Regions from separate parts of the Mus musculus genome. Here region 2 is reported to be linked to region 1. Evidence: microRNA targets listed by miRTarBase, many of them from high-throughput screens and not tested one by one. Region 1 holds a microRNA gene; the other region holds the end of a gene's coding sequence.

Region 1 (4,350 bases):
AAATTTAAGAACAAGAGAGCTGGGGAGATAGCTCAATGATGGAGGATTGCCTAGGATACATACAACCCTGAGTCCTCAATACTACCCCCAAAAGGGAAAAAATTTTATAAACATACAAAATATATATTATATAACATGTCATATATTATAATAGTGCTTATCTATATTATAATATATTTCATATATATATTTTATAATACAAAGACTGTCACTGTTCTTTTCTTGATATTTCAAGATAGAAACAAAAATATTACCATAGATGATAAGATTGTTAGTGATTTCCCCCTCGTGTTTGTTGAAAACATCCTTTATTGGAGGGGTGTCATAAAATAGTATATATGTGTGTGTGTACTCTTTTACAGGAGCAGAATTGTAGTCTCACTTAACATTATTTTCAAAAAAATAAAACAAAAAGCTTGGCCAGCGATCAGGTAAATTACGTCAATTGTAATAAAGTGACTTGAAGTTTCAAAGTAGTTAAAGTATTTAAAACCTGATGAAATTCAGTTGGTCACTAGTGAGTCTGCTGCAGACAGGCCTCTGCTTTTTCATAAGGCCTAAATATGGCCCAAAATTAAATATAAACAATGGTTCATACAAACAGCCATGAGACCTGTTTATCCCTGTTCATGTAACCCAAACCCCGCCTATCTCCGACTCTGGGCTGGCTGCACATCTCCAAGCCGTGTATACTTGCTCTCAGCTACATAATTTACTCTGCTGAACTTGAAAAGGAGTGGAATTTCGATGTAGAATTACCCATTAGCTCCAAGGCTAAATTTAAACCTCTAATTAAATTAATCCGTTCATCTTAAACACTTTGCTTCTCCCTTAGAGAAGCCTTCTTCGTAAGGCTTCTTAGGTGTCGCAGAAATTCAGGACGACAATTGTGTCATACAGTATTTAATAAGTCGCCCAGGCCTTAGAGAACTCAGCAGGGGTCTTTGGAAAGTGGCTGGGTAGCCCCGCAGTTGCTCTTCCTAAAACCATTTGTTGGGGTTGTGGGGTGGGTCTTCCTAGACCCAGAGTCACGGTGTCCCTAGGCAGGAACCCATCTTTCTGGAACATAAAACCAGGGGCCAAACAGACGTTGACGAAACAAATGAGTCTATCAATCCCCGTTTATAGAGGAATAAAAGACTTGCAGACATTTGAGTGTAAGATTATTCTAACCTGCTCAGATCTTCACAGAAAATCCATTACATTTTCAGGGCAAATGCCGTCTGTCCTTTGCTAAGAGCACCAGTGGTGTGTATATTAATCAGCTGGGCCACTTAGAAGGTGCTCACACATCCAGGCAACTAGGTGGGCTCCTTTACATTTATATTGGCAGCCGCCCCCTGGGTCTGCGAAATAGTGGTGTCACATCCCAGTGATTAGCAACACTTTCGGTGGGGATGTCCACATAGGAAGGTGTATCTGTTAACAAGAACCGGTGTGTCCAGGCCCATGGGTAACACCAAATTTGGTTACTGGGTCGGGTGCAAAGGCTCCAGGTGATCGCCCCGTAACTCTTACCCGAGCACAAGCTTGGGCTGCGGCTCATCCGGCTCTACTGACACCCGCGGTTCTCCGCTCGAACGTACAGAGGTGACGTGCTCGCCTCCAGCACCTGGCTTCCGCGTGCCCCAGGAATAGCTGGAACCGTGGGGACCGGCCCGGTGAGCCCCCGCCCTGACACGCGCCGAGCTCTACTTCCCTCCTCCTTTTTCACCGCCTCCTGCGCGGTCGCCTCCCGCCGCTGCGGTCTCCGCCTGCGGCTTTGTTTTCCTCCCAGGTCTCATTCCCCACACGTGATACTGTGTTATTGCAAAGAGCGCTCCGGAGCGCGAGCGCGGGGCGCGCGCACTTATAAATACCGACCGGCCGGCCAGGAGCCCGTGATCGCGCGGCACGGAGGGTCGGCCAGGCGCGCGTGGGTCCGGGACGCGGAGGGCGAGCCAGGCGCGTGTGGCTCTCAGCGGCGCCCGAACGCCCAGGGCCGAGCATGGCCCGCCCGCGGGAGGGTAGGACCGCCTCGCACACCGCCCGCGCCCCGCGCCCTGCCCAGCCCGGGTCGCCGGGGCTCGCGGCCGCGGCTTAGCACTCGGCACCCGCCACTCGCTTCTCGGGTACCGGGGAACTGACGCCCCAGACGGACACAATGGCGGCGGCGACCGCCACCGCGGGCACGGCCGCCTGCAGCAGCAGCAGCAGCAGTCGCGGCGGCAGCACGGACGCCGCGGCCACCAGCGGGGTGCAGCCGCCGCCGCCTCCTCCGGCCACCGCGCCGCCGGAACCTCTTCGTAAGCCGCGCATGGACCCGCGGCGCCGCCAGGCTGCCCTGTCCTTCCTCACCAACATTTCTCTGGACGGACGGCCTCCGCTGCAGGACCACGAGTGGGGCGGCGGCGAGGAGGGCGGCGGGACCAAGCCCGGAGCAAGGGCTCGGCTCAGCCTGCTGGCCGCTGGCTGCAACGCGTTCTCGGCACCGGGCACCGCGGCCGCGCCGTGGACCGCCGGCTCGGGTTCCAGCCCTTGCCCGCTGCCGCCGTCTCTGGTCCCCCGGGTGTTGGGAGAGCCATCTCAGCCGCCCCGTTCAGCTCCAGCTGTCACCGGTGCTCAGCTGCAGTTGCCTGACGGGCCGGGAGGCGCCGGACAGGAGGAGCTGGAGGAGGACGATGCCTTCACCAACGTGCAGGTGCCATCGGCCAGCTTTTTGGGCTCCGGGACCCCCGGGAGTACGAGCGGCAGTCGGGGCCGCCTCAACTCGTTCACTCAGGGAATCCTGCCCATCGCCTTCTCCAGGCAGAACTCGCAGAACTACTGCGCCTTGGAGCAGTCAGGCCAGGGCGGCAGCACCAGCGCCTTGGAGCAGCTGCAGAGGTCCAGGTGAGTTTCATGGACACACGCACGCCTAGCTTTGCTGTGTCTGGACGACAGGAACCTCACTGAGGTCGCTCCCACCTTCCTGCTCCTGGCTAGATCCCGGGCTCCTGGACACAATCCCAAACCACTAGGGCATCTGGAAGGGGAAGAGGCCCAGGGAGTGTGCACGAACCCGGCACTAGCAGAGCGGCCGCACCATGCTCTTGCTTTGGCCAGGGAGTTGGGAGTTGGAAGAAGCGGTTAAAAAGCGGTGCGAGAGATCACCAGCTTCCTGAAAACCGGTCCAGACCCGGAGGCGCGTCCCCAGCTCCGGGCGAGCGGCCGCCGGGTGCAGTGGGTGGGGCCGGGGCAGGCGGCGCTCAGGAGACCCAACTAGTAACAGACACGTGGGAACCCCTCTGGAAAGTTTATGGAGCCCGGGAAATCATGTTTTCCTAAGAAATGGAAAGTTTTTTTTTGGCATTTCCTTGGTTCAGGCCTGGAGTGTGGGGACAGAGAGGAAATGTGGCCTACGACTTTTCCATTCCGAGAAAACTGGCCTGACACTCTTATTGTATGCTTGTGCGCGTTATCTGCAGGTTTGAATATCTTAGAAAAAACGCAAGATATGCTTATTGGAGAACTAGCTGGAGTTAAGTGCTATATGCTAAGACAGTGGTCTTGGTTCTGTGTGGGGTAGTGAGACTACCTACAGGCTGGGAAGAAGTCCAGGTGGGGCTCTTGCGGGCCTGTGGCGGGAGTCCTTCCTCATTAGTTAATAAAGCCTCCTGAGAAATTATAGCACTGACTACCTTAGTTAATTATCATTAAGTTAGGGAACCAAAACCTCTGTTTCCTCTAAAAGGATAGGGCCCGGCCTTTGTTCTGTGGGCATTAGGTGGGTAGGGGGACCGGCCTCTTGCCATTGCTTTCCCAGTGAAGGAGGTTTATGCTCCCTGTGGCCTGTTGGAAAACCTAACTTGTTTGGTTAATGAAATAACAGAAGGACCAACCGGCTTTACACCGGTTTGCTAGCTTCTCAGCGCATCAAATTAGACCCGAGCCACTGCAGAATGTTCTAGTCCAAGTGTGCATGGGCCTTGGGCAGGGGTGTGCAGTCTGGAGAAGCAGCCCCCTAACTGCACGGATGAGTTAGTGATACTGGGTACAACAATCCTGCTCTGGTGTTTCTTGTCACAGTATGCATCTCCCGTGGTGAATGGGCAGCCCTGGGCCAGCAGAACGGCCTTAACTTACCACATGCCCTGGAGACCAGCATAGGGTTATGATAGGCATTGTAATAAACTGGTGCTGTGCTAAGCCAGTGAGTCTCCTGGAGGGCCGATGCACTGGAAATAGGATGTCCTCCAGGAAACTCATTCAGGAGGTGTAGAGCATCTAGCATTTCTGTGTTAAAAGACATCCAGAGCTTTAACTTGCTAATCATAGCTCTGGGAACCCTTAGGATGGTTTACTGATCCTTTCTGTCCAAACACACCCTGA
Region 2 (4,350 bases), not on the chromosome of region 1:
ATTTCTCCACCTTTTCAAAAACTAGACCTGAGGTAAATTAATCTCAGTACTCAAAGCCAAATTAAATGTCAATTACTCAGAAAAGCTGTGGCAACCAATGTTAGGCAGTATAGCCAATGAATGATCTGATGGCCCTGACAGGGTTTGAGCTGTGTCACCATTATTCTTTATCAGCTTCTAGCCTCTCATTTTCCTAAATCAAGAGTAAATCCCTCTCTCTGAGGATGCATGAGAAGAATTAAACAGATAATATAGACAAAGTACCTTGTTTCCAGGTGCTTAAATAATATGTTTTATTTATAGAATATTCTTTTTAAAAATTCTTTCTCTATATCCACCTGACTTCCCCTCTGGTCTTCCAAGGGGATATTCAGAAAAAAGAACCACTTTACCTAACTTCAGTATACTCAAAACATACTAATCAATACTTCAATGTTAGTTTGTAACAGAGTGGCAGCCAACACTCCTGCCATTCATAGGTGGCTAGGACATGAACCCAGACTTAGAGAATCGTTCAGTTTTGAACTTTTTCCCAGTTGGCTAGGAAAGCAGGAGACACTGGGCCAGTGTGGCTGAGAACTGAGCCTGATTAGTCATCTGCTACGTTGCTACTTTTTATCCTTTACTCTAATTTTAAAGATAGTGTGTCCCCAGCACCTAGTCCTGGCAAGTGGCATACAGTGTGAACAGTGATTGACTACACTCCTCTCACTGTCTGCAGTCTCTAAACTGTCATCTTTGCTTCTTTAGCTTTGGGAGCAGAACAACACCTTACAGTGGATGCCAAGGTCTACGCCTACGGTCTGGCTCTGAAACACGCCAACTCGAAGCCATTCGAAGTGCCCTTCCTCAAATTTTAAGGCCAAGGAGGACACTGGCCATGATTTGTAAATGAAACCATGCGGCCTTCACTATTCAGTGTATTCAATTAAGTTCAATGTAGGTCATAAATCAGCTTTTTTCGTAAAAGCAGCACAGATGCATGTGGTATGGAATTATAATTACAGAGAGGATATAACCTTCATTTAAATTTGTTAAATACTCATGGAAATGAGTGTATAGTTAGGTATGTTTAAATTTATTAAACTCACCTGGTCTAGAAGGTGAGGGTACTTCTCAGGAATAGACTCAAGCTCCCAATTAGGTCAGCTATTTCTACCCATAATTCCTAAAATCATGTACTGAAGTCTGCAAATAGCTATTTATTAGGCTCACATTTAAAAATTAGGTTGGGTTTTTGTTGTCTTGTTTTAAGACAGGGTATCGCCATGTAGCCCTGGCTAGCCTGGAACTTCTTTTGCAGACCAGGCTGGCTTTGAACTCCGAGCGATTCATCTGTCTGTCTCTGCCTCTCCAAAGTTCTGGGAATAAAGATGTGTAGCACCACACATGGCAAGCAAAAGAAGACTTGGGGGTTTTTTTGTTGTTGTTGTTTTTCAAGAAAGAGTTTCTCTGTGTAACAGCCCTGGGGCTGTCTTGGAACTTAGTCTATAGACCAGGCTCAGCTTGTACTCCGAGATCTGCCTGCCTCTGCCTCCTGAGTGTTGGGATTAAAGGGCACACACCACCACACCCAGCAAAAATAAGAGTTTTAAAAGAGAGACCCCAGTAGGGACTTACCAGTTTCTCCTAATTCTAATTAATGTACTATATGGGATTCATTTGGGTAGTAGATGTAAAATCAATACAGCATAACATTTGTGGTCAAAGTGTAGCTACTTGTGGTACATGCTTATAATCCACCGTTGGAGGCTGAGGCAGGAGGATCATAAATGTAGCCAGTTTGGGTTACATTATGACACTCTATGTCTCAGAAATAATTTTTTTTTGAAGATTCATTTTTTATTATAGCTAAGTACACTGTAGCTGTTTTCAGACGCACCAGAAGAGGGCATCAGATCTCATTACAGGTAGTTGTGAGCCACCATGTGGTTTCTGGGATTTGAACTCCGGACCTTCGGAAGAACAGTTTGTTGGTACTCTTACCTGCTGAGCCATCTTTTCAGCCCTCAGAAATAATTTTTAAACTGTATTTAATATTCTCATAAGGCCACTTCATTCCTAAAAGTGTACCAAGATAATGCTTCAATAGTGAACATAGTTAATTCTTAATTTTTTTTTTTTTTTTTTTTTTTGGTTTTTCGAGACATGGTTTCTCTGTATAGTCCTGGCTGTCCTGGAAACTCACTTTGTAGACCAGGCTGGCCTCGAACTCAGAAATCCGCCTGCCTCTGCCTCCCGGAGTGCTGGGATTAAAGGCGTGCGCCACCATGCCCCGCTAATTCTTAATATATTAAAAATATATGAAAACTCGGGATCCTTCCTTCAAGTGTGCACACACTTCAGTTTCCTAACCTTACCTCCGAAAATATTGTTTTACAAAACTAAACCCATAGGAAAAAGATTAACATGGATTCTACATATATATGGATGTCAGTAGCCATGAGTATAGGCAGGTATATTAGCCAATTATCTGAAACAATCAGACTACACAAGAAATGCAGAAATGGTTTCTAGTATATGCTAGGCCTAAAGTTCACCCAGGAGTTGTTCCAGTGTTCTGGCTCTGCTCTGGTCTGATGAGCTCTGCTACTGTGATTACCTCAGCTGATTACATCAGCTCAAGAAAGGTCAGTTCAGCCACCAGCAGCAGTCGGCATGATGCTTGTTGGCCAGCTCAACACGTTTGCAACCTAGGTCCAGGGTAGATCCTGGGAACCTTATAAAAGCGCTTTTCCCAGGTACAGTAGGTATAGACGCTAAGTGTTATTGCCGACACACATTTTTATGCACAAAAATGTAAGCTCTTTATACAAATCTTTATACTGGACTTCTTAAGGATGGAAATAATTCTGGAACTTTGTAGTCCAAGTCTGCATTCCTAATGAGTGTGAAAATTAACACCCAGTATAGCACAGTAGCCTTCCCTGTGACTCTGACCCTTCCAATGTTTTCTTTTGTGTTTATAATCATGGCCCTGTCTCCCCAAATATACCAACTTTTGCCTGTAAGTTCCCTAGGACATCTATTTCACTGTGTCGTTTCCTTCCCTCTTTTGAAATGAAGACACAGGCTCCACACATTCGTCCTTTCCATAGAGCAGGTATAGGACCAGGTGCAATAAAAAAAAATGGCCTTGAGTATCGGCCGAGATACAAGGTGTACCCCATCTTCCCTGGCCCCTGGGTCTCTTTCCTGTGGGAGTGTAACTGAGAAGTGACAGCTACATCTTAGACGTGTCAGTAGCACATTTCATTACCAGGGTCTGTACCTCAGAGGTAGAGCCAGATCTGGAGCTGGCCATCTGGTGTCTTCACTCCTCACAACTTTTTTTCGTTCATTTGGAAAACTCAGAAAGTGGGTTCTAAAATACAGGGTGTTCTCCAGTGTCTGACCTTAGCTCAAGCTAAGTTAGCCCTACCTCCTGTTCCTACTGAAAACTGTACTTTTGAAAATAAGTAAAATAAAGTATGTACAAAGAACTGGGTGGTGTCAAATGAAGAGTAAAATGTTTCCCAAGGACCCTAGCTCCTGCCATTGAGTAATTTAGAACTAAAATATGACCATACTTGACCCTCTCAAGCATATGCAGATCTGCTCTGTAGAAATACAGTGAACCTACAGAAATACTCTTAGAGAACACTTAATAGGAATCTCTTTATTTTTCATCACAACTGCAACAGTTTTCTTAAATAAAGTTTATTGTCTACTGTTTACACTTGGGTCCTGCTATGCATATCACAGACATGAAGTCCTTGCATGAATACTCATTGCTCACTTCCACTCAACTACAGACACTGCTTGAGAACTGGGTCTTGCTTTGGGGACGAGGGGAGAGAGGAAATACTTGGGGGCATTGGAGTAGAAGGCATGGCCAATACAGCTGGACAGCACTCGTAGCTGTCACCAGGAAAAGAGGACAAATGAAAAGCAGAAAAGGGAATTGGAAGCAATTGTGTCCAGTGACAGAAATAACTTCAATGCTTGATTTTTGCCCATCCAGGCTGAGTGGCAGTTTGGGGATAGGATGAATCAAGTAGGGGTGGGGCTGATGAGTTAAAAAAGTATAAAAATTATCTAAAATATACATTAGATATAAATGCTCCATAACTCATTAGGGAAGCTCAAAATACTGGAAAGTGGCAATCTGCACTGCACTTATTTTTAAACAAGGGAATATTCAGTGTTCTGAATGTTGTGTGCGAAGCTAATCCACATCACTGTCTTGCTGTCTGACCAACAGCGAGGCAGATACACTGCTTCCCAGCGTCATGGCTAACACTAGATGGACAGTGTCAACAAATAATGTAAACTTCAGTTTTAAGGCAGCTGGTACTGATGCTGCACACA

Evidence for each region. Region 1 holds the annotated microRNA mmu-miR-1901 (CCGCUCGUACUCCCGGGGGUCC, at 2,709-2,730, opposite strand). A microRNA usually pairs through its seed, bases 2 to 8, with sites in the 3' UTR of a target mRNA and lowers its output. Matches are read on the target gene's strand: a 7mer-m8 pairs with bases 2 to 8, a 7mer-A1 pairs with bases 2 to 7 and ends in A, and an 8mer does both.
Region 2: the mRNA of Nudt5 is a reported target of mmu-miR-1901. Seed matches in the 3' UTR shown: 7mer-A1 at 1,324-1,330.

The regions. Positions count from the first base shown.
Region 1 is chr18:11,837,663-11,842,012 of GRCm38, forward strand. It overlaps Mir1901 (microRNA 1901), which reads right to left and starts at 2,776; the gene lies at 2,699-2,776. Cables1 (CDK5 and Abl enzyme substrate 1) reads left to right here and starts at 1,612. Exons shown (of 10, transcript NM_001146287.1): 1 at 1,612-2,871. The coding sequence starts at 2,144. Gm6277 (predicted gene 6277) reads right to left here and starts at 1,715. Exons shown (of 4, transcript NR_045421.1): 1 at 1,519-1,715.
Region 2 is chr2:5,867,339-5,871,688 of GRCm38, forward strand. It overlaps Nudt5 (nudix (nucleoside diphosphate linked moiety X)-type motif 5), which reads left to right. Exons shown (of 10, transcript NM_016918.3): 10 at 751-1,398. The coding sequence ends at 860. It overlaps Sec61a2 (Sec61, alpha subunit 2 (S. cerevisiae)), which reads right to left. Exons shown (of 12, transcript NM_021305.4): 12 at 3,639-4,350. Among named protein-coding and RNA genes, the nearest start is that of Gm13199, 6.6 kb to the left of the region's middle.